Linked DNA regions of Neodiprion lecontei. The protein of the gene in region 2 binds, or shares a complex with, the protein of the main gene of each other region. Links are inferred from orthologs where the notes say so. Each region holds a gene or a part of one and is shown on either strand. Other genes may lie near its edges.

Region 1 (11,765 bases), about 1.5 Mb from region 2:
CCTGTCCCGTGCGTAGTAACACGGCCAGGAAAATATCGTCCGTCATTACAGACAGAACGGAACTGTGTTGATTAGCGCCTTTTGTCAATGATCGAATCTAATCTAGCTTTGACGTAAATATGTAAGAAACCTTCGGTACAGATAGTTTAATTTCTTGCGTGAAAAATAGTTTTTCGACAAATGTTCCCCAGACATTTCCTACCGCTGGGCCGGAGTTCAACCTTAACGATACACCCCGCAATAATATTATTGTAGCTGTTAATACGTTTTACGCTTTAACGCGTATATTATGCGCTGATTCGAATTCGTGCGTATACATATAAAAGGTAAGTCAACGAACGTTATGATTCTGAGAAAAATCAATTGATCAAGTACACCTATACCTCTCTATACGGCATTTCGCTATGATGGCCTTGTTTAATTAGGTCGCTTTTTTGATTGCAAAAAAATTATATTTATGTAACCATTTTAATAGAAAATAAAGAGAATAAAATGCTTTACGAACTAAAAAGTATATTGTTTTATGAAAAATTGGAATAGACCCAATTGAATTGTTATGGGTTTCTGAAAAAATAATTGATTCGTTCGTCGCCAATTTTTCCGGAACATATCTAGGCCGTAAAGCGAGGTATGGGTATATCAGCATCGCTATCATATTTTTACTTCATGCTTTAATTTCACAATTAATCTGTTTTTGTGAATGTAGGTATTATATGCTTATCTACGTAATTGTAATGCAGAAATGAATGTATAAAGCATCAGGCGAATGTTGAGATGAAATTAAAGATTATCATTTCGGCGTAATGACATTAAATGTCATGAAATGAAAGTGTAAAGCATCAGGCGTATATTGAGATGAAATTGAAAATTATCATTTTGGCATAATGACATTAAATTCGTAATGTCATTAAATTGGTAATGACATTAAGTGTCATTATGCCGAAATGATAATCCAACACAATCTATAGTGCTACCAATTTAATTTGCGTCCGAAAAATTTCAAACGCGAAATAGCCGGTTTTTGAACTTTACTCGAAATAGCCGGTTATTCTACGCAACCGTCGTAATGATCACTGTACGTACAATTATACCTTTTACCTTCCTTTAATACTGCAACAGCAATTCAGGTAATATACAAGTAATTTCTGCTTGCACCATCATTTCTTATCACAGTAGGAAGGAAACAAAAAAAAAAAAAGGTTCAGAAGTTCTTTAAATTATAGGGTGCAAACAAAAATTGGTACTAGCCAAATGTCGTTGCAGTTTGCAGCAGCATATGCATACGGAGTCGTTATTTTATGGCCGTATCAGGCCCTAAAAACGATTTTTTCTTTGCTGGAAACTTGATTTTCAAGCCTTGACGAGAACCTACGGGCATCTGCCATACGTACAAATTCACATACACGCGCGGACACATGCGGTGCGTACCTCTTCGTTTTAACAAGCACACACTCCGCATCAGGATCAACAGACGCAATATAGGAATGATAGAGCGAACAGTTTGTACAGGTTGGAGCTTTCTCCGCGTTGCGCCAACTTTCACTATATTCCGTAATTTGGTACAGACGCACTTAGTACACAGCAGTCGCGGTTTTTACCATGTATCATACACACATATATGTATAAGTATCGTTAAAACGGTTTGACAAATTTTAAGGAAGAGACTGCTTCTTCATTTCAACGGCAGCCTCACTAAAAATCACGACGCGACGGTTGTCTTCGAACTTTACCCAGCTGCGGTGTAAATACGAGATCAAGCGCATTTCTCTGAATTATTTATTCATATAAGCAGTGATTTGTTGAAAGAATACGCAGGTGCAATTGGTGTGTCGATATCGAGCTACATGTGTGTATAAGCAATCATTTACGTCTACCTACAAGTCACAATTCGGCTTTGCGGTGTAGTGTGGTCGCGACGTAGTAATTAGTTAAACAAAGTGGAGAACCGTGGCGGTAAAATTTCACCGCTAAACTTACACGGGGCCGACAAATTTGAATATTTCGCATTAACGTACGTCGGCCAAAGAGCAACTCGGATTGTTTGCATTCCCTGTAAGTAATAATGTGCATGTCATTATGTAGAACCGGTTTTTAACGGGAGCGCGACGAGACAATGACAAGCATTTCTGTGATGATTTATTTATAATTCATGGAATTTTGCTGAAACGCAAAATGAAATCCTTCGCCGTAAATCCACCTTCCAACACTGCACTGCGGAAGAAGAGTTGGCGAAAAATCTGTGTGCCAGTAGCACGAAAAAATTTGTCTCCATTTCAAAGAATATCATTGACTGTTTACAGAATTCGAGTATTATAAAAACTGCATCAACGAAATTAGGAATATCAACGAGACCAGATTCAAATGGTAGTTCTGGATATTATTAAGAAAATGTAACTTTCTATTTTTTAGAAAAATGCCAGCCTTGAAATTATTTGGACGCAAGTGGTTAGCGGCTACTGACGATCTTGTATATCCCGGGCTATTCGAAATTTTCATTCGAATTATTTGGTAAGGCTTAAACGTCAATAGACATTTTCCAAATATTCCATAGAACCTGATTTACCTTGTGAATACTTAAAAATCCTCTAGACACGTGTCACAGCTTTGCCCATTCCCTCAGGTTAATCCTAATGACGATTGCGTGCATAAAATACTACGACGAGACTTGGAAATGCCGTACCGGTGGAGAATTAGTGCGTGTATTCCTAGCTGGGGAACTAACGCTCCTGAGCATAATCGCCACGCTGTTATTCGTCGTAGTAACCCACAGTTCGAAAGGGGCTATCACAGACACATACTCCCGTCGACTGGTCGAACCGCTCCTGACCGTCAAGTAAGCCACATAGGTCGCAGTTCTCAATCCCTCTCGCAGATCACCCGTCTTCCTTCAAGTATTTCCTCCCACCTATGGTCAACATGTTGTAGAATGAGTGTGGCTGAAAAACAGTAATACATACGTTGATGTTTCAGGGTACTCTTACTATTCCCCGAAGTAGTGTGGAACGTTCTAGGAACATTTTGGATATTCACTCGACACGTTGAATGTTCCGATGACAACTATACGATACCCGTCGTAGAAGGGCTGGTTCTGTTCCACTGGGTACTACTTGGCTTAACGATGCTAGGAATGGCTCTTGTGTTCGATCCTCTAGGATCTTTAGGCCTCAGAGATAAGACTTTACAAGATTTCGAGGAACATCGCAAAGTATCCAGCACGTGGATACGGAGGTTCAAATTTTTATGGTGGATGCAGCGAGACGAAAGTGCCGACGAAACGTTTCAACATGTTGCTGGTGAGACATAGGTACATATGGGTGAGGTTGTAATGTGATCGTTGTATGCGACGAAGCTTGCACCGATTTTGCGGAGCACCGATTATTAGAGATAGAGACTGCGTTATGTCATTTTAATGACATAAAAATCGAAGCTTATACTTCTCAAATTTCGCATAACATTGACATGCTTAGAAATGATTCGCATCTGGTCCGTTTCTGAGTAAAATAAGTCGGTTAGATATGTCAAATTACAGCGGCTTCATTTTTTCAACTTGAAAAAACGTAATTTCGTTTTCATCGTATGTATTAGGATTACTGAGCGCACTGTTTCGAGGCACAGATCTAGTTCCATCCGACGTTATGGCGGGCTGTATTCTGATGAGAGTAAGACAAAAGCGGGAGACTCTTGAATTGAGGCGGTTTCACATGTTAAATCGCCCAGTATATACTTCCGGTGAGATCAAGGCTTAAATAATATAATTTCTCTCATTCGATAGTATTCCTAATTGCTTCTATTCGATTAATTCTCTCCTAATTTGACGCAGATGCACGGGAAATTTTTCGTCTTGCACCGAGCTGGATGTCCCTAGAATGGGCTCAGCATTACATGCAGTTATCCGTAGCTTCTTACGCTTGGATATTTGTCATGTATCAGCATATGTGTACGGGCTGCTTCCGACTTGCCAAATACATGACTTGTTGCGCGTGTTTCAGGTATATTGAACTAAACTGTAAAACTACTGATTTCAGAAAGATGAAATTAAAAGTTTACTTATACAAGTTGCAGGGTGAACCTGACGTAACAAACTATCGCTAATCTTCGTTGTGACAACTTGGCTTGTTCTAGGCGGAAGCACAACGCGGTGATAGATGACAATTGCTGTTTGTGCAATCTTGCAGGTGTAAAATACTTGTCTCGACTATCAGAGGACGATATCTTATACGCATCGTTTCGGAACCATCTTTGCGAGGTGAATAGAAATGAAATGAACCAACAAACTGGAAAAAACATTTCTACGAAACTAACAGAATTTTTCTTCATCTTAACGACAGATACCTTTCTGCGTGGTTGCCGACCATAAAACTGCAAGTATCGTTATCGTGATTCGGGGATCGCTGTCTTTGCGTGATCTCTTTACCGATATTGCAGCAGCTTCCGATGTATTTGAAGCAGATGGCCTACCACCGGGTAGTATGGTACGTAAATTATGGCAAGTGAATCTTTTTCTTTGAAATTGGCACAATTTCGGCAAAAGTAACAATCAACGATTTATTACAGGCTCACAGAGGGATGATTATTGGTGCCAAGGTGCTATTGAAACAGCTCGATCAATCCAAGATTCTCACAAAAGCCTTTACCATGTACCCGCACTACAACCTCACGCTCACAGGTAATTGCGTACAACTTTCAAAAATGTATATCACACGGGTCTGAAATTTTCAAATATTTTCAAGGTCACAGTCTGGGTGCTGGATTATCCGTCCTCCTGGCCCTGCTGATTCGACCGCATTATCCGAATCTGCGAGTCTACGCGTTCTCAACACCAGGTGAGCGGATACCGTGGCAATTTCTTAAAACTTACACAAAGCGGATAGAGATGCTGTTAATTTGTTCCTGCACTACGAATGCGAATAATTTACCCCTAGTCATTTTCACACCAGAATACCGTCTAAAAAATTTTTATATACCTTTGACAAGTGCTTAATCGCAATTACCTCGTGTGTATGACAGCTGGATTACTTAGTCGAGAAGCTGCCAGGATCACCGAAGAATTTGTTTTCACAATAGGTCTTGGCGATGACCTCGTTATGAGACTCGGTGTAGACAGCATTGAAAATTTCAGGACTTCTTTACTTATTACCCTTCAGGCTTGCCGTTTACCCAAGGTAATCCGTATGCAATGTGATACTTCCATACGACATATGCCCCTACATCAATATCATTTGCGGCATGTCAGATTTATCGATGTATTGTGAAAAAGAAATACAAATGTTTCGCGCAGTAGTCATAAAAAAAATAGATTAAAGACTCACAATGATTTCAGTACAGAGTGGTCCTCAATGGTCTCGGTTATACTTTGTTCGGTATACCTGAGAGGGACCTCGAAAAGTTGTGGCAAAACGGTAACACAATTGGATCTATGCAAGGGCAACTTCCGCTCCTTTCCGATCCACCCACAAGACAGATGGTGAGTATAATTTAATAGCTCCTCTAGATCGTCATTAGATAGCAGCAGAAGTCTGAATTAGAATATAAAAACAATACATCAAGTGGTTATCAAATTCCTGTTTGACGCGTCTAATTTTTAAATGTAGCATTTTGGCAAATAATTATATTCTGGTGGTATTCCATTAACGAATCATATATCCGTTACCTTGAGTCATTCTCTAGTGCAATGCTCTTTCTTTTTTAAGGATGCAACGTTATTGGAACGCAATGTGGCTATGCGAAGGTACTCGAGCGTTCGATTATACACAGCTGGGCGTATACTTCATATTTCAAGGTTCAAATCAGCACTCAAGCAAAAAGACAGGTAATTCGCGAATTGAATATTTCACCTTTTAACGTCGTAACTATGTATGCTTTTTGATTGATAATAATCTTTCATTGATGCTAACTCAGAAAATTCACCTCTTTTGAGATTAATATTTCATTTGAGCTAAGATCCGATAACCAGCCTCGAGTGTATTACAGTGATGATAACGGAAGTGACAAATGTCGGTACGAAATGCGTTGGGCCCAAGCTGAAGACTTCATGGAGTTATCAGTGATGCCAAGGATGTTATTGGACCACCTGCCTGAAAACTTGGAGCATGCTCTGACTGTGTTACTTGGTCAGCAGGACGAGGCACCCGAGGACATTAGTATAGTGTAGTTCAATGGCGTTCAACCGCCAAAGTTCAGTATCACGATAAAGACTAACTGAAAATTGACCAAGAAAATCAGTATTTGTATATTTATACACATTACACGCAGAATTAAAAGATGTTCGAATCAATTTATACTGCTATCCAAATTATTGATCATTTGTAAAATTCATCTTTATGTACAAGATTACACATCAAGTTTACCACGCAATCAATTGAACTAAATCATCCCAATTCATTGCACAACGTACTGTACAGCTTGGTGTGCGACGCTTGATTAGAAATATTGCTAGGCGTTTAATGAATTTCTTAGAAAAATCTGTAGCATTTGGGATAAAATATTGAATGCGCACCAGTGATGTGTCCATATTTTAGTAGTTCCAATTATCAACAAATAAATAAAATACTTTTGTAATATAAAAAGATGGATAGGTACCATTTGTAGATATTTTATGACAAGACCTGAGACATTGCGAGTCCCTACATAGAATTGAATGTTCAGAGTTGTAAGAAACCAGGTGACGTTCCATAAGAGAAGACATCCATATGATTGCACGAGCTCGATAAAGGAATTGAGGTTTCATCCATAAAATCGTCATCGTCATTATCATCTCTGCAAGTGGTCAATGTTGATTCCTCATCGGAGACGCTGCCTTGATATACCATGTAAATCGAGGTAAATCTTGAGCCACTTCTCAGGAGAATGTAGGGGTCAAAAGGAAAGAAAGTATCCAGCCAAAGAGTGACACGATTGGTACTTTGAACGACGGGTAGATTACTCCGAGCATTGTGCTCGATTATTGTGTAACAGTAGGCCAGCTGGTAGGTGCGCGTTACAGCCGCAAAATTCCGCACTACTGCCGATTGGCAAACTTTTAATGGATTCAGTCGACAAGCTATAATCTTCGTCAGATTCAGGCTTTGAAGGAACAACAAGTCTGAAAAAATATAAAAGTTTGCAAGTGATGGCCATTGATGAAATTGAAATCTTTGAACTGAAATCATGTCTACTTACTTTTTCTAGTCTCGACGAGATGTTTGTGCCTGAAAGCAATGACGTAGAACATTGCCTGGCATACGGTATAAAATACCCCGTGCACCCTTACATCGCTATTGGCGCACTCGAGGCTATCTTGCGACGATATGTAACTGTGTATCCACATAGACATTTTCAATAACGTTGTTTTGATCATTCTGTAAAATTGAAATTTTTATTATTTAGGGTGCCTTGATAAGTAAATTTTAGAAATATCGCACTAGACATGTCAAGACTAGACCTGTGCAATTTTGAGGGATAAGTTTCGTAAAATAAATATAGAATTCACATTTATTAAAGATTGACATACTCAAGTTGAATAAATGTAGCTCTGGCGAGTAGACTGGCGATATAGGATACGGAAGATTGCCGTATAACAGGGGCAACGTTTGGGTCTGAGACTTTCTGCCACAGCCAATTTACAAAAGCTTCGGATACTGTCGGTTTAAAACTACAAATATAGAACATGATAAACTGTACGTGCTGACTGGCGTGCGTGGGCAATATTATTTGTTCAAACATCTTTAGGACATCGTGATAGAGACTTTTCAACGATTCCCAGTTGAGAATTCCCTGATTGTGGCAGCAGTTATATATATATGCAAGCACCTGCTCCATGCATACGTCCAACGTGTGCGCCACAGGATGTTTCATTTTTCGTATTTCCTTCTGTTTCTCATTTTTTATTGCATCACCCTGCACTTCGTCTAATGCGAATATGATCTGTGCCGCATCGTCACTTTCCTCCATATCTTCGTCATCTTCGCACTCGTCTATTTCCGATCGTGGCGCATAAACGTCCAAAACAATTAACCTGAAAACAAAACAGTACACACGTAGGTAATTAGATAATATATTCTCGTCATGGGGACAGCTTCTCTAAAACCACCTTCGCAATCTTCCTAAACTCGACTTGATCATACTTTAATGTCTTTGCTCCTTCAGAGCAAGAGAAGAATAGAAACTATTCTAGTCGTAACAGCATTCTCTTACATTTGTTTGCCAAAAAAAGTTTCTTACGATTGACTGAAATTGCCTGTCATATCTTTAATTTGTCCAGACTGAATATAAGTTTGAATTTAAGTCAAGGTTATCGATACACTCAAGGTCTATCGATACAATACAAGTAAAAAAATAACAATATTATGAATAAAAATACGTCCTGTAATAAAAGGTCATTTTCTAATCAAGTTTGATTTATATTTGGTTGATTAAGAAGAACAATCCCAAAAATATTTATAAAATAGGGATCGACCGATATTCACGATTAATTTATCTCCAGAACAATAGGTAATTCATATCGCGTCACGTTGCATCAAGGTCCGATTTCAAATACCTGTTGATTATCAGTGAAAGAATGTCAGATCTGAGATGTGGGGCATACTCCAGTATTTGAAGAAGGGCATATATGTAAATTTCATGTCTTTGCGTGTTGAGCCTCCAGTAAGGATAATTTGCTACAAGTGATTGTAACAAAACGTCGGTAGCCCTACAAATGAAACACAAGAGTTAGGAGGCATTATAAATAACTCGTCTGTCCGGTAGTGCATAAGAATTCATATTCTTACATGGGAATAATTTTCATAAGCATTCGCAGGACGTCATGCACATGCCTTAACGTTTGAAGATCCTGATTTTTTGATTTGGAAAATTCCCATTCCGTAGTATTGTCATCCTCTTCTGAAAATGAATAATGAGTTAGATGAAGAGGGTCGTTCAAGGTTGCAAATCAGTTATGGGTCAAGTCAGATACGTGACAGCTTGACTTACCAGATTTAAATCGATCTACTAGCTTGTCTATTATAAGCTTGGCATGATAGTTATGAGCAGATACTAGATCTTCGAGAAATCCTTTGTAGATTGTCGTTACTTGCAACGATCTGGTTGTCCAATTAAGCGTCAGCAGTGCCTCGATAAATAATCTATGTGACGGGCCAAGTAACGAGATACAAGCGTGTGTTTCTGTCAACAAATCTATCAACTCACTTTCCTGGAAACAATTGAGAGTTGTAAGACATGGCAAACAGATAGAAACTACGACTATGTTTAAAAGTATCTTTACTAAAAATTTAGTATAATGATACATACCCTAATTTCCGAGTCACGAATGGTACACACAAGATTTTCATATTGCTTATGACTTGTGCCACTTTCGAAGCTAAGCAATATATCCTTGAGATTTTTTGGAAGTTTGAATTGTACTCTGTTTGCCTGGTTTATAATTTTTGCTCTGATGCCTGGGCCTTTCAATATCGACGATACACTGCTGAGCCTTGACGAGGTCACAGACATCTGAAAATTTCCAGAATTGCCAATACTTGCAACAACCTGCGTTTATCATGCTCAGATACTTAGAAATTGACAACAATCGCCACCTTTACGAATAACTGAACGATCTCTAGTGTCAATTATATTAATGAAAAGATATTCCGAGGATACGAATTTTCTGATTCTCACAGCTTGGGCTGTCCTAGTGTCATGAAATACGCGAGCAAACATATGTAGGTATTATCATAAGATGAAGCAAGATGTTAACGACATAAGGTCCAAGTTATCGAATATTCGAAACCTGGAATTTGACGCTTGCAGACCAGACGGGTGAGCGACATTCGCGATCGCCATGTGATGGCTTGTGAGGTTAACGCCAATTTAATAACCGGTTCAAATTGTCGTTACGGTACTCACCTTTGGGCAGTTGTGAATGAAATTCTTTTTATCCAACAGGCTTGCTTGCACGTCGTATCGTTTCTTTTAAAAATTAAACGATTGCTCGATGAAACTGTATCACTATCTGTCCAAATCCGTACGAATTTGTGCACGAGGAGCATGCATCGCTACGAGCATCAAACACACACTGTTGGGAAGTGCAGACCCGCACATGACGGGCGGCGGAAACCGGAAACTGAGACAAATCAATTGAGGGTCTGGCAAACAGACTCCAGCTCAGAGTAGTTTTGGGTTTGATGCAGTATGAAATATAGTTTTTCGCGGTTTTTGAAAACATGTTTTAAACTACAATTATATAAACATATATAAGTATAGAAAAATATAACTATGAAGTTATCGGCGATATTCCTTTAGTGGTATGAAAATATGTACCAAACTCTAACTTCAGGGGGTGCCCTGGTCGATCGCGACGTGACGTATACTTATATACAAATATCAAAGTCCATATATCTCAAAAGCGAAACCGGGCTTAGCGGCCCCATTTTATGCACAACTCTGAAGAAACCCACTCCGCGCATTTTCATTTGACACAGAAATGTAAAAATGGCATAGATTCCACGAAACCGCAGTGGTAAATTCGCAGAATTCATACCATGAGGGTTCGCTATGCAATGGTATCACTTACCGGACTCTAAATCCCGTTTTATACAATTGAATACATACGAATAGTATAGGTAATAAGAATTGTTCTTCAATGAGGGAATAAGCAGCTGTATAAAAATCCAACAGTCTGTCTTTCTCCTTGTGAACTCCCGACAATCACAACTGACAAGTCTCCTGCAGTCGCAGGTGGTGTACAAAAATGCAGGGAATTGGAAATATGCGAGTACACAGGATTCTATTTTGATGAAGTCATGTATTATACATTTATTTTGGTATAACAAAGTCAGCTGAACCAGAAGTAATGGCACATGTTCGGTGTCATCTGCCTTGTATCCGGCACCTTTTTTGCTTCTCTCACCGTGGATGGCATTTATTCACTCGAGGGATTCCAACTTGAGTTCATCTCAATGGAGGTAATAGTCCGCTCATCCTGATGGATATCTGTTAAGAAAATTATATTAATACAGACTCTCTAGCGCAAAGTAAAGAATTATGAATTTTGTTAGAGAACGAGTGTACCTAATGCACTTCATTGACTAATTTTCGGCACGTGAACCGTCAAATATCAAGCATATATGTTTCTCGCGGCCTCGTTCTAATAATTTCATATCGAGAGCTGAACGACAACAAAAATCAGTCAATTTTGGAAAAGCATAGAATTAGAGATGAAAAAATGAAGAAAAAAAGTAAAAAATTGCCACCATTTCAATTAAATTTTACACGGAAATATCTGTACCCTAAACGAACCTGTGGCTTGTGGTTGGTGTGGTAGTACCATCCTGTTTATTCGCATTATTAACCACGCAATTTCCAGTAGCGCAATGTCGGAAGTGTAAGAAAACGACGGCATGACTCTAGCGCCAGAGTTCGTCAATTTGTAGCATTTCACAGTTTTCAGCCAATTTGAACTCTAAACGAACGCCAAAAGCCGTAGATAGCACGCAAGTAACGTAGTACAATACACTGTGTACTATTTATTGATTTCATGTAAATATGCGAATTATTATATAGAAAATTGATAATCAGCCGCTGAAGCAAATACTTGATAGGGGGCAAGTTCGATTAAATTGAAAATGCATGAATTACACACGGAGGTGTATATGTATGTATACAGTAGAAGGATACAGATGTGTACGTATGATGGCATAGAATTGCATGTATTCTAAAAACGGTATTAATGAAAAAATAAAGTGAAGGGCGCACGCGTCTCAACATACCTTTTCCCACTTCAAAGCCATCAGCTTTGGAACGGAAAC
Region 2 (10,856 bases):
TTAGTAACTTATTAGAACTGGGAAAACGTCTGGGGAAAAAAACCGGGTCTTGGATCTTGGGAAACTTGGAAATGTCGCGGACATTTATTTGCCAAAAATCTGTGGTCACCCCGAATTACATATCGCTCACAAATACGGAAAACACTTACAATCAAGTTCATAATAACATGCGGATGAAAAGTTGAATATATTAATGTATCTTTACGATCCATGTATTTCGATTTTCTTGCGAGCAAGAAAAAGATTTGGGAATACTTGATACTTCGTTTCGTCGATTCTTCTTCGGCTTGTTATTCAAACCGTATTACATAAACACAACCTGGTAATATGTGCGCGTAGGATAACCTAACATACCTAACATAATACACCTAAAACCTACGAATTAAACACGTCTCGCGATTAAGATCATAAGTAACATGTCGGATTGAATTACACACCGACGCGGACGTCATCATAATCATCGCCGTGATCTTCAATGCGGTGTCTCTCTTCTGAAATCCGACCCAACGATTTAACTTCTTTCTTTTTCCAAGCATCCTTTCTTTCTAAATAATACATGATCGCAAAATTTCCCGTTTTTTGACATATTACGCCGGTTCATCCACACATATAAAACACAGATTCCTGACGTTTTCTTCGATTCATCGATTATTAATCGTTTCCATTTTCCTTCCACGCAATAGGTTTTCGAATGAATTAGAAAATAATCTTTCATACAACTCGTATCGAGGTTTCATTGAAATATTATAACATGCAACGCGCGTCGCTACGACGATTTTGTGTTGTTGTTGACGTCGCGTATCTTCTCACGAGACATGGGATAATGTAATAAGATAAGATTACGTCTCGTGCAGATATATTTACATGTATATTGTTGATATTACGATGACACATTTCACGATATAAAATTATACGTGCAAATTATGTAATATTGTACGCATATTTTTGGGTCTTATGAAAATTGTTTTAAAAATTAGGGTGATAATAGTATTACGTCCAATATTCGAAACAGTTGTTTTTTTTTTTTTTTTTTTTTTTTTTTATCTTCACTAAGTGAACTTGTGATTTCTCGCAGCTTTGAATTCTCTCATTACAGACTAAAATTTATACACAGCTACGCGTCAAGCGCATGCGTATATCAGCGCGATGGAACCGGATATTATATTATTACACGTTATCCAACATCCAGCAGAAGTGGTAATCCCCCCTAATGAAATTTTCTAGATTATATACACAGAGCGGTATACATAGAAATTAGAGCCAGAGATTAAGGCTTAGATTTAAAATTAGAATTTATAGGATTTATGAAATCGGATATATTTTTTTTATTTCTTTCTTTTTTTTTTTATTCGTGTTGTCGAATTTAAAACGCGATTAAAATCCCGTGATCCGCTTAAATCCTTATTTATAGACGGGGGAAAAGAAATACCGGCTCGCTGTTGCTAAAACGTCATTACATCATGGAAATTATCAATGTTAACAAAATTCGGGAATTTGTTAATATCTAGGTTGGGTTAGGTCGGGCTTGGACGCCTACCACGTCTCTCAGCTAGGGGCTGGACACATATATACTCCATATATAGAGGCACCATGTACCTTATACCTACCTACTTCTCTGTATATTGGAAACTACGCAGAGCGCGATTCGCACGAGTGACGTGGACTACGGTTGCGACTGCGTATTGTACATGTAACGTATCTCGTACTGCATCAGCGTTGTTGCCAGTTGCCTGACGGAAACTGCGTCCCTGAAAACCAACCCCTTATTTACACGCCGCCGGCGTGAAACTAATGCCAAGACGCGACCTTGGAATGAGATCCGTTCACGGCGCCGTTTCATGCCGCGAAGAAACTGCACCCCGAGTTGATTGTAAAATCAAATAATTATTTGGCAAAACAGATTCTGCATATTATATATTGAAAATATAGAAGAGGCGAAGATTATTATCTCCACGAATGTTGGAAAACAACAGATTTCTCACATTCGTCATATTATCGAGCAATTTTCCATCACCGATTGCCGATGTTTTCGAACTAACCGAGTTTTGTTATTGAAATTGAAGGAGGAGAAAAGACACGAACGAAACTGTATAAATCATGATGTCACAGCAACGATACTCTGTTTTTCTGGCATACGTTGTATCATCGAGCTTTTCACACTTTCAGCTTTATCTGAATTTTTGCTCGGGTGTGAAAAATTAAACGTTTAACATTGCGGCACAGATCGCAGCGCCACTTGGCGAATCTGACAGAATTTCCCATACGATAGGAAAAGTGATTTCTCAAACTTCCTTTATTACCATTTCAAGTGATTTTGAACATTTTCAAATTCGTCGTAATATTCTGACAGTGTAGGTACCGGTGAGTTCCAAAGATTTTAGGTTAGAGGTGACGTAACGCAGCGTAATTGCGATTGCTGAAAACGTGGGGTACGGTAGAAAATCCGTAACAAACTCAAGGACATTAAAAATGGAATATTTTCAAGTTAGGTTGCCTTTTTGAGGGCAAGGAAAATTCAAGGACATTTCCTGGACCACCGGACACCGTGGAAAATATCGCCAAGAAAGCGTCACCATATGTTTACCTCAATCCTTCCTCATCCAGTACTTGTTCGAACCTTCCATTCGACCAAAGAATAAGAGAGAAAGAGAGAGAGAAATGGTCGTGGACGAGACGTAGTCGCGACGTGAAGTTCGAGACGGAAGGATAACACGGAATAATGCAGCACGCGTATAACCCAGTCTGGGGTGGTTGGCGTGAAGGAAGGGTGGTGTAGCTGCTGCACAGGCGGCAGCGCCGGACGGCGCCAACTCTTCTTTTGAAGGTCAAGGTTCCCGCCCCTCGTTTCGCGCACGTCCCGGGGGCGGCGGAGCTTCGCCGTGTCAGTGTCACGAGCGCACACAAACCCCCCCAAGACCATCCGTACACGCCTCGCCGAGGGGCTGTCGGGCTGAGAGTGGCCTCGAGGGGCGGAGGCGGGGGCGGAGGCGGAGGACCAGCTCGGTGCCCATAGTATTTATAGAGCCGGGCGACGATGCGGTCGATAGCGGCGGCGGCGGCCGCTGCGCAGTTCGGAAGACTTGCCGCTCCACCACCACCATCGTCATAGACTGCATCGTCGACACCAAGGTGGTGGTGGGCTTCTGCGCCTGCGTTTTCGCGTATGCACGGTAAGCCGGTCCCCAGAACATCCCGTTCCTGGATGGATCCCGGGGCAAACCCGTGTCGTCAAATCTGCGATGGAATCCCAAAGACCAGAGAATCATCGTAGCAAATTTAACCTTTACCATGTCTCACGTGGATGTGATCTTTGGTACTCGCGTGATAATTTCTCGTTATGTCAACATTTTGGATACAAGAAGGCGCGCGGTTTTTGTACCAAATGAATTATCGAGTTATCTAACTATTGGATCTTCGACTAGACGCCTCAAAGAACATCCATAATTTTTTTCAGAATTTTTGAACTACTTGGAATAGCCCAAGTAAGAGTAAGATGCCAAAGACCCAATGTCACAGGCAACGTGTACCGAACACCATATGACGGGGTAAAGGATGATGTTTCTATTTCACATTACCTGGTGCCGGATGTAGCAGTGCTCGCAGGACAACTTGGTGGTGGTTTTGTTTCTGCAGAGGTGGTTGCAGGACCTGATGCGGTCAGAATATTCATACACGAGAGTAGTGCGTCGGTATACATCGCGTCCGGTGGTCCTGGAAACGTCCTTGAATTTGACTTGTCCTTGAAAAGTACTTGAAACTGCCCTTGAATTTTTCTCGTGTCCTGGAAACGTTCTATTTTTAATGCCCTTGAAAAACCTGAAAATTTTCTTGAATTTGACTTCTCGTTCAAAAGTCCTTGAAACTGTCCTTGAATTTTTCATGTGTCCTGGAATTATTCTATATTTAATGTCCTTCGATAAGCCGAAAATGTCCTGGAAATATCGTCGGACTTGTTACGGATTTTTTCACTGAACATCATGGACTTATAACGTACGAGAATGACGACAGGGATTTCGGACGAGGAAAATGATCGGTGACCTTGAATAATCCTAGCATCGATTTTACCTGCAGGTTAATTGTCAAATATGGGTAAAGACTGAAAATGGATGAAGATTTCAAAGCGATGCTTTATGAATGTCGAGGTTTTTTCATTAGCGCCTAAGACGTTTACGTTTGTCGATTATCGTAGAGTAAACATACCGCTTTTACAATAATAACATGCGATGGTGCAGCGTGTAGTTACAACTTCGCGGAATGATTAATGCTTTATATTGTTCACTAAATAAGAATAAAATTTATGAGTTTTGACACGAGTTGATCGGCTGGTGTAAATCAACTTCACGTCAATCGAGATTAAGACGTTCGAAAAAGGATCGTACCACATGTCCGCGACGGTCGTAACTTGGTTGTATTATTGTCGATGCATCATGAATATATTCCTTAGCGATTTGTGGTCAGCGAAATCAACAACGCGACTTAACCGCTTATATTGTACATACACGCGTTATACATGTCGGTATGAAAAGGCAACCGCGTGCATGAACGATTCTGTGAAATGCTTCAAGGCGTTTGCCCACACGAAGAAAAAAGATGAAGTATTTTTATGTAAAAATATATACATATATATATTATATATATCGCGAAGCTTAGAATATTGCGTGCACAGCCGCTTGTAGGATATACCCAAGCTCATGTGTATAAATGAATAAACGTGTCCGATGCAGCGGTGATTCACGTCGCGGAAAACGAAGTAAAAATATCAGCCTTACGAAAACATCCAGCAACGAGAATTGTCGCATGTATAAGAAACGAATAACAAAACTCTACCCCGTACGCTGCCAGATGTGAAATGTAAGAAATGCAATCCATTACTCTGCGTAACTTCTCGCCCGGGCGTAACTTCTCCTCCGAATTGAAGATGATAGTATACCGGTATGCTGCAAATGATGGGATAACGATTTTTCGGAATCATTGAACGTACCTTCCAGGAGATTCCGATGCACTGCAAAACGATGCTGATGAAAAAAGAGGGATGTAGGGGGTGTACGGGGTGTACGTCACTTACATTATACTCCTCTCCCTCCCCCCCACCCCCCCCTTTCGTCGGTCGATTCCTCCTCATCTCTCCTCCACCTCCCTCGCTGCACACCGCGGGTCAGGTGGAAACGGGGTGCGAGGGCACAGGGGTTGACGATGGGGGAGGTGGCGTGGCGCAGGAAAGCAGGGCTCGTCAGGGACAGGGATGAACCCTGCGAACAGTTTCGAAACAGTCTCTCATCGGAGTGGTAGTGCGACGTTCGGAGAGGAGGAGAGTTGGTTATGTCAGTCATGTTACGTTATGTTATGTTACGTACGACGGTAACCGTGCAGGCCGCTAGGTACATACGCTGTGTACATATGTACTAGACTGTAAATAAGGGATGCAACTTGACGCGATTCAGACTGATCTTCTTCCTCGCTAGCGGCTCTCTGGGGCACAAACTTCGATACGGGGTAGGGTTTCCAATTTTTCAGGGACAGGCAGGGAGGCAGGGATATAGATTATAGATGGATGGGGAGAAGATATTCTCTCTCTATATCACTTCATGCATATCGTTCCAATACATCCTACCAAAATCGAAACGAAACGAAAGACAGAGAAATTACGATGAACATATCAAACCAATGTCACACCGTACGCGTTTCATGTCGAACTCTGGAGCTTTTTTTTTCTTCTTTTGGTTTGTTAGTTACGGTACTTGTTCAACAATATCATGCCAACGAAGTGTTTCGAGTCTCGTTGATCTCTACACTCGCGCAGCTTGGCTGGATAGTGAATTTTTTCAGCTAGAAGATGGACCCGAGGATCGATTACGCGCGACTTTTATACCTCGGACTAATTTTTCAGTGCGGACTGCGCCGGTTCTGATCTCGATAATTGACGAAGAATGATTTTTACTTGACGTACGAACGTGACTGTAACAAAATTAAATTGCACCCTCGGGTACTCATGGCATGCGATTTTTGATTATCGCCACTACTCGCTTGTATCGATCTGTCATTTCTGTCCCTGTTGTGTCGCGGTACCAGCTGGCGCAGCTTGATCCCGGATCCGATCCGATACGACATCTGTATCTAGGTGCCCAACTACCTGGATGTCGCAATCGATCGAAACGTTCTTTCTTCTCTGTTCGATTATACACGTTTCTTTTTTTCTTTGATTCTTTGTTGGATTTGGCTGCCTCGAATTCTTTCGTTTGAATTTGTAAAGTTAGGTTAGGTTAGTTTTATACACTCGTTTCACAGGCCTCATGACAGCTGTAATCCTCCTCCTTGACTTTAGTGTTTTCAGACCATCATCTGTCCATATCACGATAAGAAGGATAAAAATGCGAAGAAAATAATGAAGATCGATTTCAATTCCAACACTTCATTTTTTTCGGGAACAATCTTGTGAACATGAATCGAAGAGTTCGTTCATTCGTCGATTCATTTTTCTGATATTTTGACATCGTCTGAAAAAAAAAAAATCAACGGACCAGTCTGCCCGTTTCTTACCGTTAATTCGATTTATAATTACGAGATCCGCATTCGGTTTTCAACATCTTTCAACCCGCTTCCAGAGTATTTTTCTATCTCGCGGTACGGTTCATTCTTCCTTCCAACGTTTTTCGCCGCTATTGCGTCTTGCCCGGTAGCTGGTGGAAGAGATCGATGAGAGGTGAAAAGAAATGAAGAAAAACGTTACAGAAGGTTGCCAGTCGGGGGTGAGGAAACGCCGAGGGATGTTTAATTTTTCTCTCGTAACACTATCCCTACTTTTTATCCCTTCCGTTTCCCTATCCAGGATTCTATCTCTTCTTCTTTATCCTGACGAGACGGCGGCGCTCATAGTTTCAAGTTGGGGTATCACAACCCCGTTTGTTGTCTTCTGGGGTTGGTGGTGGGGGTCGAACCGTTGCGTCACAGCTGTCAAGGGCAGCGCCACCTACAGTACACACCTACACCAAGGTTCTTCATCTTCTTACATCTTCTTCGTCGTTTTCCAAGCAGTAGAAGATCAATTACGGCACAAGTCGAGTCGGTTTTTCTCGCCCTTCGTTGTTCCGCACTTTTCGGTTTGCGCATCGAGTTATCGACGAGACGGAAATAAAGGATCTAGATAATTCTACCCTGTTATAATACCCTTCGATTTACGCTCACTGTGTAACCTGTTTCATTTCACTACTCGAATTCTCATATCGTACAACTATGTTTTTCTCGTTTCAGTTACCAGGCTGCATTGCGAATCCGAGTCCTTCAAGATGGACCTTATACTGGACATCAACAGTTGGCTGTACCCGATGGAATTGGGTGAGTAGGATCTGTGAATGTTGCCGAATGTGTGCTGCGTGTAGTTCGCCTGTAGCATAATTCAATTTTCATTCAATCGAATCCAATAAAGAACCGCTTCTTCTTGATCTCATATAACGACGCTGATATTACGCAACGCGTACTGTAATCCTGTGCAGCCACGACTCATCAACCCTCTTTTTTCTTCCTCATTCTCTTCTGCTTTTTGTTTTATTGCAAAATACAAACCTAACGTACAATAGAAATTTTCTCATCTGTCCGACGTTAAAGGGTATCCATTTCTTCGTCGGCAGTTTAACTTTATCATCATCATCATCGTTCCGACAAAAGGGGTGAAATTGCGTTCCAGTTTAATAAATCGTTTCACTGTTATTTTCTCATCATTTCGTTTTACCGTCGATATTTTTTATCTCACCACCTTCAACAATTGCGCACTTGCATAGATAGGTACAGAGAAATGCCTGTTCAAGTGGTATACATGTAGATAGAGAGAGAAAGAACTGTCCGCACCAACGAGACTGAAGTTAGTAACGTTGACTTCAAGAAACCGTCAGTGAAGAAAAAAAAAAAAAATCATTACCCTGTAATTTCTGAATGACGTTCAAGAAGTTGACTTCTCGAAATATACGAGTATGTTTGATTTCTGTTTTTTCCCCCCTCATCACGGTTTAATAAATTTCAAAAAATCCTAAAATTGCGAAGCGTTGATTTTCCCCGAACATGAATCGTTCACCTTAACGTTACCAACATCATCCTCGTTCACGCCGACAATTTTGCAAAAATCTTACAACAATCAATGATCTCGGGGAATTCCGATTCCAATATTAATTGTCAGGCAACCAATTACACCCTCCCTTCGTCATCGTCATCATCTTCATCTTCATCGTCGTATTGACCGTACCCACGTACGTACGTACACAAGTATCACTGATCGTGAGATACCTGAGGCAGCCAGTGTAAACTACAGTGGTGGTGGTGGTGGTGGTACATCAGTAGTAGCAGCCATGGTGGGCTAGGCCGTCCGACGATGGTGAAGCCGAGCGAGGCAGGCTTGGCCGGCAGGCCTGCGTGCTGTATTGACGTGCGGGCTGCGAGGCTTGCGCGGCATGACGCAATCCCTCCTCTCCCACCCCCCCAAGCCTCTCCTCCCGCCCCGATTCTTCCTCTTCCTCCCCCTCCCTCCCATCCTCCCACCCCGTCCCTCCCCGACTTCCCCGCACTCCCAACCCCCTCTCTCTCTGTCTCTCGTTCTCCCCGCCACGCGCCGCCGCCACCCCCGAGAACCGTCGACTGCGTCGCCCCGCCGCTTCCTCGTCGCCCCCCATCAAGTTCAATGCCAAGGTCATACCGCCGCGCTCAGAACGACGTCGAGTGCTGGCTCGGACGCCATCGGCGCAGCTTCGCTCCTCGCTGCTGCTGCTGTTGCTGCTGCTGCTGCTGCTGATACTCATCGTCGCTGCTTGGTTTTTCTACCCCACCCTTGCGCTGCTGTTGCCGCTTTTGCCTGCTGTTGCTGTTGTTACCGGTGACGATTGTGTGCTTCGAATTTTCGCGTCCCTTGGGTTCACGTATTTGTGCTCACATACTGCGATTCTGCTATTCTGCTGCTTCTGCTGCTGCTGCTGCTGCTGCTGGTGGTGCACCTGAAAAACCACCTGCCCGACGACAATACACCGTTGCAACGTACTCTTTCTCTTTCTATATATTTATATATGTATATTGTATGCCTATTTCTATTTTATGAAATTTATAATCGTTTTTATTAAGCCTCTTTGACTAATTATCATTCTATGTTTATTTCTTTATTTTTCTCTTATCTTGATATTATATCTATGTGTACAGGCAGCGGAGGAATGTAATTCTTTCAATTTATCGTATTCTAAAGCACTCGTCTTTGATGTTTGTATCGACGTCTGGTCGGACGATGATTGGGTATCATTGGAAATTGATTTATTGATTTATTGAAAATCGAGGCTTGCGAGGTTTGTGGTTGAAAATTGGGAATTTAGGGTTAAAAATGAATATTGATTTTAGAAAGTTGAGATCAAAATTTCATGTCGACTGTTCTCGAAATTGAAAATTAGAGCTTTATAGTTCATGGTTAATAATTAAAAGTTGAAAACTGAGAAGATTGAACATTTTTTTTTTTTTTTTTTAATCAAGATCACATACTGTAACTTTGTAAAATTTCGTATTTCAAGTTGCAGGATTTGCATTTGAAAATTTTATACACGTAATAAAAATTCGATTGAAAATTGAATCATGTTCCGCGTGTATGTGTGAAATTTGTACGTAATATATGATTTATTCATGTTTATTTTTCATTCTCATTTGTCGATTACAACAAATTACGTGCTTGTTCTCATAATATTCGTTTGTTTCGTCAAAATCACGATCGTGTCTCAGTCATTATTATTATTATTGTTGTTGTTGTTGCTGTTGTTATTGTGATTATTAATGCCCGTCATTTTCGCGCGCAACAAAATCGCTTACACACGATATACGTTTACATTATATACAATGTTGCGCAGCTGATCGTTCGAATGTAACTTTGCTTACCGTGCATGGATATTGAATAATCTTTATACACAAATCTCTTCCCGTTTTATCGAACATACGCGAAACGCGAACCACACCTACGTCTGCACTCGCGGTGAAATAAGAGAATCGAGAAAAGAAACAATACGGAAAGAAAATACAGGAAACGAAAGAAAAATAATAACGATTGTGATAAAACTGCGGTGTACCGGTTCTCATAAATTTTTATTGTTTGTATTTATTTTTTTCAACTTTCTTTTACGCCGTCTTCCGTTTTCTTCCGTTTTAGATTTCACTCGATCCTTGTACTTTCTTTGTAATTGTAAATTCCGCTGAAATTGCGCGAAAAGCAAATGGAAGAAAAAAAGAAAAAGAAAGAGATTAGTTAATCACATGCAATCCGTAATGTGGAAAGAAAAATTTCCAATGATCCTCTGTACACATTAGATATATGTATACATTGTACGACACGTTTATCAATCATCAACAAATTTTCAAACGCGTCCATCACCTTCTCTAAATTGTTTTTCTCCATTTTTCTGATCCTGTTTTACTTTCTTTTTTTTTCTCCTTCCTCCAATCATTTTGCTTGCACAAAATTTAACAAAAAAAAAAAAAGTAATAATTTTTGTCGCGTTTTAGAGTTTCGTGAAACACGACGTACGTTTCCTTTTTTTTTTTTTTTTCTTTTTTTCTTCCTACCTTCCTATTCCTTCGATTTTTTTCGTCACTTTGATGCGGACAAATTTAAGCGTCTCGTTTTTGGTTCTGTCTTTATATCGTTCCACTTCGTATTTCAACTTCAGGTGCGAAGTTTCGTCTGGTGCTCGCGACTACCTTGAGGGAAGACGGTTATCCGGACGGTGGCGAATGGAACGCGATCGAACAGGAAGGCGGCTCGAGGGCTGACAGTTTCGAATACGTTATGTCGGGTAAAGTTTATCGCATCGAGGGAGACGAGGCAAGCAACGAACCCAGCAGCAGAC
Region 3 (9,638 bases), on a different chromosome or scaffold from region 2:
TAGTAATGAATATTTTTAGTATAAGAACACATCAAAAACACTATTCAAGGATTAATATAAATAATTAATTAATCAATAATATGATGAATTTTATTATATAGGAAAATGTACCTGCCGAAAAATGTCGAAAACACAGGTTTTGTTTTTTGGCTGTAACTTAAGATGCGTTGATCGCAGCGTATTGGGACTGCGCCCAATCGTTTTCTCTCGCAAAATTATGTCGGAATAGTGCCACAATTAATTAATTTCAGAACTTTTCAAAATCGCGAAAATTTTCGCCGAAAATGCAAAGGGGTTAATCTTCCTTTTTTTTTGACCAAAAAACTTTTCGTCTTAGAATTGATTCGTATGACTCTTGTCCGACCAATTGGACCCCAAGGAACTCAGAAAACGCAGCAAGAGGAGCGTGAGATCAACAGGAGCGAAATTGCGATGGAAAATGTACCTGCCGAAAAATGTCGAAAATTCAGGTTTCCGTTTTTTGGCTGTAACTTAAGATGCGTTGATCGCAGCGTATTGGGACTGCGCCCAATCGTTTTCTCTCGCAAAATTACGTCGGAATAGCCCCACAATTAATTAATTCCACCACTTTTCAAAATCGCGAAAATTTTCGCCGAAAATGCAAAGGGGTTAGCCTCACGTTTTTCTTTGTTTTTGGAGCCAAAAATTTCTGGTCTTAGATTCGACTTGTATGACCCTGTCCCGACGAATTGGACCCTCAGGAACTTAGAAAACGCAGCGAAAAGAGCGTGGGATCTACACGAAAGAAGTAACGAAGTAACGATCCCTCTCGCAAAATTACGCCGGAATAGTGCATAAAAGAATCAATTCAGCACTTTTCAAAATCCCTTAAATTTTCGCCAAAAGATATGCTGTGTTCTGAAAACCGGGAACAAATTTTATGTCTTTCGCTAGGAACTCTCAATCCGTTGCTTGCAGCGTTTTTTGATTCTCCACAATCGATTCCTTTCGCAAAATTACGTCGTTAAAGTGCATCAAAGAATTTATTCCAGCACTTTCCAGAATCGCGAAAGCTTCCGCAAAAAATGCAAGCACGGAAATTTCGAAGGAACGATGAACAGCTAAAATATGACAAGTAAACAGATTTCCGTTTTTTGGCTCTAACTCGTGATCCATCGCTCGCATGCTCGCATTGCTCGTATCCGGATTGCCTGCAATCGATTGCACTTGCATACTCACGTCGATGTAGCGTAACGAAGAAAGAATTCAAGCATCAATTTCAACTAATAAAATTTCCAGAAAAATCAGAACGGGCCACCACTGTTTCTTTGTATGCCTGATTTACCTGTTTATAAAACCGTTGAAATTTCATTGTGTGTACCAAATAAATGAGGTCCATCAGCTGAATAAATCATTAGAATGCTTTTGTCTATACAACGATATAGACAGTCGTGCGAATTGTAAGAATGAAATTTTTCGCTAACCTGATTCTTTCAGTGGTGTACAAACTCTTTTCTGGTCAAACGGAATACCTATCGACGCAACAGTATTTCGTCAATGAAAAATCATCATTGATAATCATACAGATATTATCTTAAAATATTTTATATTTCTTCTCTACAGTTCGCTCCAATATAATATATGTTTATTTTTGGTTTCCTTTACATACCTATAATTCTGTAACTTGCGACTTCTGGTCTTTAAATATTGCGTGTATAATATTCATTCACAGGATTTACTGTGCCTAAATCATAGCGAAACGAGTGAAACAGTCAAGTTCGGTTCTGTACATGACTGAATCAACGATTCATCAACGATATGTTTATTGTAACACAGACCAAATTCATTCACACATGCAAGGATAATATAATAGTTGTCATGTTATCAATATTGATCACGTCAAAGATTTCACTGAGGAATTAACAATTTGTTATGGCGATCCCTTGAAATGAAACGTATAAACTTTATGTATACTGTAGGGCAATTTGATTCTATAAACAGTATGAGTTCCAATTGAAATTTAGTTTTCATTTTTGCACGCGAAGGTGAAAATCACCCAGTTGTGTACAATATTGAACCTCAGCATCGCAATTAAAAACTAAAACACTTGTGCATTTATCGTCTCGATTTATCCAACACGTGAAATTTCTCAGATTCGAAATCGCATTCATCTGATGTAGCGAATAAGGTAATTCTCATTTCAGTTAACGATCGTTTTGTGAGCAGCTCAAGTTGCAGCTGACTTTGTGGCCTTGATCCAATCAATCTCAAGAGCTGCCACACCTGGTTGATTCTCCGGGAGATACTGTCCGTTATCCACTTTCAATCCAACGTTGGTGATCGATGTTACATCCAGCGGATTCGTCTGCAACGACAGCTCCATCCCACGATGGTACGGCTTGAATTCAGCCAGGGGCAATCTCACTGTTGCAAACTCCTTCTCGGGGGCCTGCATTGAAAAATAAAGAAAGAACGAAAGTGTCGTGACCTTTTCCATTACCAATTGGGAGGCGCCGATAATTACCGCGAATATTTGACCGTAGACGGCAGAGTCTTTATCGAGCCCTTTGTGCCGGAGGAGCATTTTGTACTTGGTGTTGATTCCCTGGCCTCTGCAGCGTACGGTGATGCTGTTGAATTCCGAGAGATCAAAGCTGGTGTCACAGCGGACAGACGCGAATCCGGATCCGTTTGGCTGTGGGTTGAACAGGGTGAAAAGTATCGCTCGCTGGAACTGCTGCGTCTTCTGCGTAACCATCACCGCCTTCGACATACCGGATGGTTTCACGGTGTCCGAGTGTTCGGACCAACTTCCGGCCTGGTCTGAGCCTCGCGTGAAGTCGAACAAAATCTGCACCGTTCTGGGGAATAGCGATAACTTAGCGAAGCTGCGTCTCTTTAGAAATTTACCAAATTGGCAATGCTTACCCGGAGGCAGTGGCGACCATGTCATTTCCGGTGTCGTTTGATGATTTCCGAGAGACCGGGTGTCTCCTCGATCTCCTTGGAGTCCGGGTCGAAGTCGCAATGGTCTCTGAGCTGCTCGTCTTTTTACAGGCACGAGGCAGAAGTTCGCTGTGCGCTCTCGCTCTACTCCCCACAGAAGGGAGGAGCGGAGACGTTTTAGTAGGAATCGTGATTCTTGAACTGTGTGCCGTTTTGGGTGGAAAGAGGGTAGCGGGGTCTTTGCGTGTCGCGCTGACATTCAAAAGTCACGATAGATTCGTAGGCGGTATACGTCTCCAGGGAAGAGCTTTGCAACGACGATATTCACAGACAAATTCCCGGTGCTCGATTTTCTTATTAGCATAACAACGATTGATTTATTAAAACGGTTCATTAATCGCTGACGACGAAAATTCTCCACCACGGATTTAAGGGTAAAACAGAAATTACAGCTTGCAAGTTACGCGCGTGGTGAAACATTGTTGTTGCGAGATCATACGCTGTCACTTAATTAACTATAATTCGACAATGGGAATTGCTAGTAAACGTCAACCGCGGTGGATGATTGGATTCAATTCAACTATCTATCGCTCCTGAGGAGTTCCAAGCTTGACTTCCTTAGCTTGACGGAACCTCTGATCGACTGGGAAAAATTGTTTGATCAATTTTAACGTACTGGGTAGATAATATTTCGTCCTCAATTTAGCTTTCGCGTACTACGTGTGTGTTATAGGTACGTGTCAAACAATGTATGTCCGGTCGAGGATTCCGGCTCGTTTGAAAATAAGGTGAAGGTAAATTCTGAGGTACACGTGCGTTCACACGACGTCATTGTCATCAGGTTTTCACTGTATATACACATAACGCGACAGTTTTCGTATTTCAATAGATATTACTTGTCAGGATACATTTTGCCAAAAATGTATTTTAAAAAGTTTGCAGCGAAACAAAGTTGTTCTTTTTATTTCTACATGTAAAATAATGTTTGTGAAGAAAACGCGCTACAACTGTCGGTGATACGAAACAGTGTAGAATCTGATCGGGATTCCTCCTCGAGGACAGATTTTATTGATCAAACAGGTTTTCCAAGTATGCGTATTACGTATGTTGTTACAGTAGTTCGAACAGAAAATTGTCCTAAATGAGGTTTATATTTCGATTCTAGTAGTACAAAAATAGAGCTTTAATATTGGCATGCACTTTCTGGCTCGTATATTTTTCACATTATCAAGTGTTTATGTATCTCAAAAAATATTTATCGATTTCTTGTTAAGAGGAGTATCGTTTTATGACGAAACATCGATAGTGTTAACTTCAAGCGAAGAAACGCCACTTTGATGAATGGCTCCGTAAACACCCCCGTATACTTGTAACCCGAAGCTGGTGATATTTGTTATGTCCAGAGGTTTTGCGTTGGGAACAGCTTTGCCTCTGTAGTAAGCTGTGAAATTTGCCAGAGGCAAGGAAACCGTGGAAAATACTTCCGACGACATGGGGGCCTAAAAATCAGAAGGTAATTATTCAGCAAATAAGAGTGTAGAATTTTCCCTGAATAAATAAATTTACGGCTGAAATCTGGTCCCTGAAATACAATTCAAGAAATGATGAAAATCGTATGGCAATACGTATATTGCTGGTCGGTTATTTACCTCAAAGAATTGCTCGTAAGTTGGATAGGGCTCGTTGTTCTCGCCATCATGACGCAAAACAATTTTGTAGCCAGTACTGTTGCCCTGAGCTCTGCAGTTTATATGGATAGTGCTAAGCCCGACAAAATTCATGACCGTCTCGATTCTGACGCCTGCAAATGCTGCTCCATTTGACTGAGGGTTGAGAAGCGTGAATAATATTGCTCTTCGAAACTCTTGCGTTTCTTGCATTACAAACACTGCCTTTGATTTGCCGACAGTTCTAACCGTGTCTGATTGCTCCGTCCAATCGGAGACATTGTCTGACGATGTAAAATCGAACAATGAGAGACTGATGCTTTGTAAAAAATAAAAAACAAGACATTAGCAACTCGGAGAATTGTCTTTTTCAATAATAGCAAATATCATGATTGAAAATGATAAAAAACTAGGAGAAACATAGCGAGATTTGATGAACAGCTCGGTGCGATCGGAATGTGCGGCTATAATCTATCCACGACTATCTATCTACTCCAGAACCATCGGAAGGTAATTCGAAATCTATTTACTCCAGAGTGTATTTAATTTTTTCTTCTTCCGAAGTATCCCGCGCGTGTAACAAAAATCCTCTCAAGATGTTCTGGGCTTGAATGTTCGACAGTATGAAGGATTGGGGCTTCGAATGGAGCCTGTGATTTATGTACGAATCAAATATTTGGTAACAGTGATTTCAAATTTTTTTTAGATCAATTAATAATTAGCCACCATCTACAACTAGGCATTAATTACGCACATTGTCGATTGAAGATGATTGGTATGAAACAATGTTGTAACGAAACCTTCGCCTAATTCAATAATAAATATAAATTATATTCTAATTATGGGTCATACGCTAGATAAGAGATATGATAGACATGGAATGTGTGTAATAGTAGCTTACCTTTCGTCCTGTGAAGTGACAGCAGATCCCATGATTAGAAAAGTGCCTGTAATTATTAAGCAAGTGTTCAATGCCATCTCGGGCTGGTTTTTATGCGAAGAGATGGGAACTTATTTTTGGTAAATTAATCTCCGTCAGATAAAAACGCGAAAGCAAGATAAGGTAAGGGCCGAGTTGACCGCGTTGACAGACGAAATAAGACTGTGAAACTAACGACCAGTTGCTCCTTTCCCGGTACATTTACAACGAGAAATAATACCGGTAATCTACGACAGCCTGACTTGAGCAGCGATTTATATTTAGACTGCGAAGGATGTTACGCAACTAAGAAATCTATGTATGAGGTCAGCTGACGGGTTGTTATGTATATAATTCTAAGCGTCTATCTCCTATCTAATCGTGTTGTGTAGTTATACTTCTGTTTCTTGTTCACTTTGTGTCATTATCCGGTAATATTATTGTAATATCCCATTACTGGTATATCTGCATATCCTCAGGAACATTTACGACGTCGACTAAATTTCTAAAACCTCACGATCTACACGATGAAGATAAAATTTTTAATTGCCAATACCAGCAGCGGTTTGATATAAAGATACCGCGAACAAATTTTTCTGGTGCGTATGTCCCTCCTTACCGATACCCGATAAATAAAAATGAATTGGTCTATTCCACTATCATCAAATTTTTGTTTAAAATTAAACAGTGAAATTAATTGATTCTAATATGTATGATGTCACTGCATTTTACCTTATTCCACAATATCAGAGTTCCCTCATGACTATAATACGTCTGTGCTTCAAGATTGTTAAATCTTTTGCGAACGAATCACTCTTTTCCGACGCTAATTACTTCGTTGATTTATTGAACTTCATCACTACCGCCTGTCGGCTGCCTTTCCGAATTATCTACAAGGAAACGTTTAGTTTCTTCCTTGTACGCCGACGCAACAGGGATGAGCATGACGTGTTGAAGTAGTTTTCAGCCGCATGTTACTACGAAATTTGAAAAATATTCGTGGATCGATTTGATCGAAATTATACATATAATACATGCAAATATTAATACACTTATTAGCTCTCATGATAGATTATGATATGTTTTTGTAGATTCTAAAGGTGGTATTGGAGATTACGAACTCATGAAAGCATCGTTATCGTATTCGGACAAGTGAAAGAATACAATATAAGTATAACATATGTTATGTGAGACTCCTATACGAAAATTGGTATCATTGAATCTTCAATTATCTATTCACATATTCCATTTAATCTTATTTCATTTATCCTTTCAGAAATTTCACATCAGATATCTTAATTTTCGTGACGTCACAGGCAATTTGCAAAATATTTGGCTATTTTTCAGGGACTTACAAGTTGCGAAGAGCAACAAGTGTTCCATTGCGCCTGCGGCTATGCAACCAAAACGCATCAGTAATACAAGTTGCCATTTCACGGCGTTACGCAGGTTGTATATGACACTCGACAGTTTTGATCCTAACCTCAAAGTGTTGACGAGTCGACGACGAGCAAGCTACAAATAAGTAAGGAAAAATGTCAACCGTCACCTTCAAGACGGATCCCGGATTTTGCCCTGACTGCGGATCGATATTACCGCTGCTGGTAAATGTCGGCGGTGTTGCTTGCTACAGCTGTAAACGGAACTGGGGAATAGAAGGTTAGAAACAATTTCAACACTACTCTAGCACTAATCGTTGGAATCGCCACGAGGGTTGAAATTCACGTTCGCGTTGGATTACCTTAGGTTGGTTTAGACTAGGTTAATACGGTGGATATCCAATGTCGGATTCGAAATAGAAATATCTTGATCAACGCACCAGGCTAAATTCACGGGATCTCGTACTTACTTAAATTTCGGAGTAAATTCGTCCAATCTAACGGTGCACGATATTATTCAAATTCACGTGACGCACGACGATGGCGATTCGAGGGGTTCGAGTGCAAGCTCAAATATCCAAATTCCCTAGAACGTACCAGATGCAGAGAGAAACTAGATGGTATTTTGAATAAATCGAACAGTATAAACACCAGATAGAATTTTGATGTTGGATTAAAAAATTATTAAGCTGGTTTCCGATTGCAATCGCGGATCATGAACGTATAAAAAATCGGTTCCTTATTCGATTTAAATAATAATGTGTGTTTGTAATAATTTTACATTTATTTAAGTACGTTCGTTTTGCTCTTACAGTTTTCGGGGATATGGCAGTGTCGTACACCCTCAATTTCAACAGTAAGGACGCCTATGCTTCGTCGGCAAGGCAGGGAGAAGCCGCCGACGATGAAGACGAAGCCGAAGGTCCGGTCGTCGAAAGGAGGTGCCCTCAGTGTCAGAATGACAAGATGTCCTACGCAACGCTACAACTCAGGTCAGCCGATGAAGGGCAGACAGTTTTCTACACTTGCACCAAGTGCAGGTAAGTGATTTGAGTTTTGTTACTTAAAAATTTCGTATTCAATTATTGTTTACGGCATTCACACGCGTTAAACTTGTCACTCAACAGAAATTATTTTTCTTTCAGATTCAAGGAAACTGAGAACTCGTAAATTCTCGAATTACTTGCGAGGTGACCGTTGCGTATTAAGGTTTAGTTTATAGTTAATTATATATGTAATTTACGTTTCCTTGTACCCAATACGAACATCAATTTATACTCACCCACATGCCTCGTTTTATACACGAACAACAAATGTAGCGTTAATATTTTGACTTAATAAAAATATCATGCGTGTAATAAAACATAGAACTTTATTTATTTTACATTTAACAAATAATTAATAATGGGTATTACAAGCAATTGTTTATAATACTAAAGGGTTGTTTTTGTTTTTCTTATTTTTTTACTTATTCCTTCTCCCTTTTTTTCTTACTCTTATTCATTAAAGTTACTTTAACAATGCTCAGAGCACTTTTCGTACTTTAATTAAGTACCTCTTCTTGTATTTACAAGTTTGGGTAACGAGCTAAACTTCAACTATTACTATTATAGTTTATTTATTTTCTATGTAAATCTCACCCTTTTTTACGATAATGCTCAGTGGTCCTTTGTATAAAAACCTCAAATAGTTGACAACAATGAATTATTATCAATTATTATTATCATTTCTATTATTATTATTACTATTATTATTATTATTATTATTATTATTATTAGTAGTAGTAGTAGTAGTAGTAGTAGTAGTATTCACGGTAACGTATATTTTGATTAGATCGACATATAAAGTTTTGCAGCCGATCCAAAGTCGACGACTTTTTTTTATTTTTAGCCCATAGATATGCGGTTTTGTCGATCAGGACCATATAAGAATGAAAAAAAGTTAGATAGAATGAAAAAAGTAGTCAACGAGACAAATAGCTGCTAGAAAGTTTTCTCAGAATTGAAAAATGATTGTACATTACATAGCGTTCTTGTACATACGAACGTGCCGACAATTTTAATATAGGGAAAAATTATCTGTAGAGTTGAGGCGATGTTTCAATAATATTATTATTTTATTATTATTATTAATAATAATTTTTATCTTTCAATATTTATTTATTTATATTTATAATATATTAAAGTTTTGATATAAAGATTAAAGTTACCCGTTTGCTGTTTGTAAAACAACACGCTCTATACAATGAAATTTGATAAAATTTTATTCATTCATTAATTTTAGCTCATTTTATTTTATTTTATTATTTTGTAATAAGAAAATTACTCTCTTTCCCACAGCCCTAAGATATTAAAACACGCACCGCAAAAAATTCACTTAATCATCATTTATCCTAGTTAACGTTTAGTTTATTACCTACTTGACGACCTTCAATGTTAAACGAAGGTTTCAAGTTCTAAGGCCGTAGCGGAATCGGTTTCACGTTATAACAAACTGCGGAAATTCCGTCTTCGTATCCACACGGTTATTGGATTTATCTTTTTTTTTTTTACCAATGTTAATATTATTTCTACATTTCTATTTTCTCTGTTCAATTTACTCGACCTTGACGATTGTACGTGTGTGCTAGTGTGTGTGCGTGTGTCTGTGTGTGTTACGTATATCGTTTTTATTTATTAGTTGATTGAATCGGCTTGATCACTGCAGCCTTGTGTCAGTGAAATATACGCCATTTGTAATATACATATATACAATTATATGTTATGT

The links.
Region 1: DNA-directed RNA polymerases I, II, and III subunit RPABC3 (region 2) and RNA polymerase I-specific transcription initiation factor RRN3 share a complex: the UniProt entries of both Homo sapiens proteins name them as parts of the pol I pre-initiation complex. The link is inferred for Neodiprion lecontei from reciprocal best matches to the Homo sapiens genes POLR2H and RRN3.
Region 3: DNA-directed RNA polymerases I, II, and III subunit RPABC3 (region 2) and DNA-directed RNA polymerase I subunit RPA12 share a complex: the UniProt entries of both Homo sapiens proteins name them as parts of the pol I pre-initiation complex. The link is inferred for Neodiprion lecontei from reciprocal best matches to the Homo sapiens genes POLR2H and POLR1H.

What each region holds. Positions count from the first base shown.
Region 1 is NC_060266.1:453,626-465,390, reverse strand, and holds RNA polymerase I-specific transcription initiation factor RRN3, read right to left. Parts: upstream 10,056-11,765; 5' UTR 9,865-10,055; intron 9,472-9,864; coding exon 9,268-9,471; intron 9,170-9,267; coding exon 8,950-9,169; intron 8,860-8,949; coding exon 8,748-8,859; intron 8,669-8,747; coding exon 8,516-8,668; intron 7,994-8,515; coding exon 7,490-7,993; intron 7,338-7,489; coding exon 7,159-7,337; intron 7,082-7,158; coding exon 6,642-7,081; 3' UTR 6,421-6,641; downstream 1-6,420. Other genes in the region: diacylglycerol lipase-beta, read left to right, coding at 2,414-2,508, 2,621-2,833, 2,971-3,293, 3,586-3,729, 3,821-3,989, 4,123-4,246, 4,329-4,472, 4,555-4,666 and 5 more. UniProt on the Homo sapiens protein: Required for efficient transcription initiation by RNA polymerase I (Pol I). Required for the formation of the competent pre-initiation complex (PIC).
Region 2 is NC_060266.1:1,950,036-1,960,891, reverse strand, and holds the start of DNA-directed RNA polymerases I, II, and III subunit RPABC3, read left to right. Parts: upstream 1-5,227; 5' UTR 5,228-5,242; coding exon 5,243-5,321; intron 5,322-7,248; coding exon 7,249-7,332; intron 7,333-8,120; exon of another isoform or gene 8,121-8,517; intron 8,518-10,676; coding exon 10,677-10,856. Other genes in the region: protein UBASH3A homolog, read right to left, coding at 3,576-3,781, 4,982-5,122. UniProt on the Homo sapiens protein: DNA-dependent RNA polymerase catalyzes the transcription of DNA into RNA using the four ribonucleoside triphosphates as substrates.
Region 3 is NC_060261.1:29,555,656-29,565,293, forward strand, and holds DNA-directed RNA polymerase I subunit RPA12, read left to right. Parts: upstream 1-6,832; 5' UTR 6,833-7,028; coding exon 7,029-7,152; intron 7,153-7,234; exon of another isoform or gene 7,235-7,335; intron 7,336-7,342; exon of another isoform or gene 7,343-7,447; intron 7,448-7,686; coding exon 7,687-7,912; intron 7,913-8,017; coding exon 8,018-8,042; 3' UTR 8,043-8,235; downstream 8,236-9,638. Other genes in the region: uncharacterized protein LOC107225986, read right to left, coding at 2,189-2,410, 2,486-2,822, 2,890-2,909; uncharacterized protein LOC107225988, read right to left, coding at 4,194-4,406, 4,557-4,893, 5,476-5,552. UniProt on the Homo sapiens protein: Core component of RNA polymerase I (Pol I), a DNA-dependent RNA polymerase which synthesizes ribosomal RNA precursors using the four ribonucleoside triphosphates as substrates. Can mediate Pol I proofreading of the nascent RNA transcript.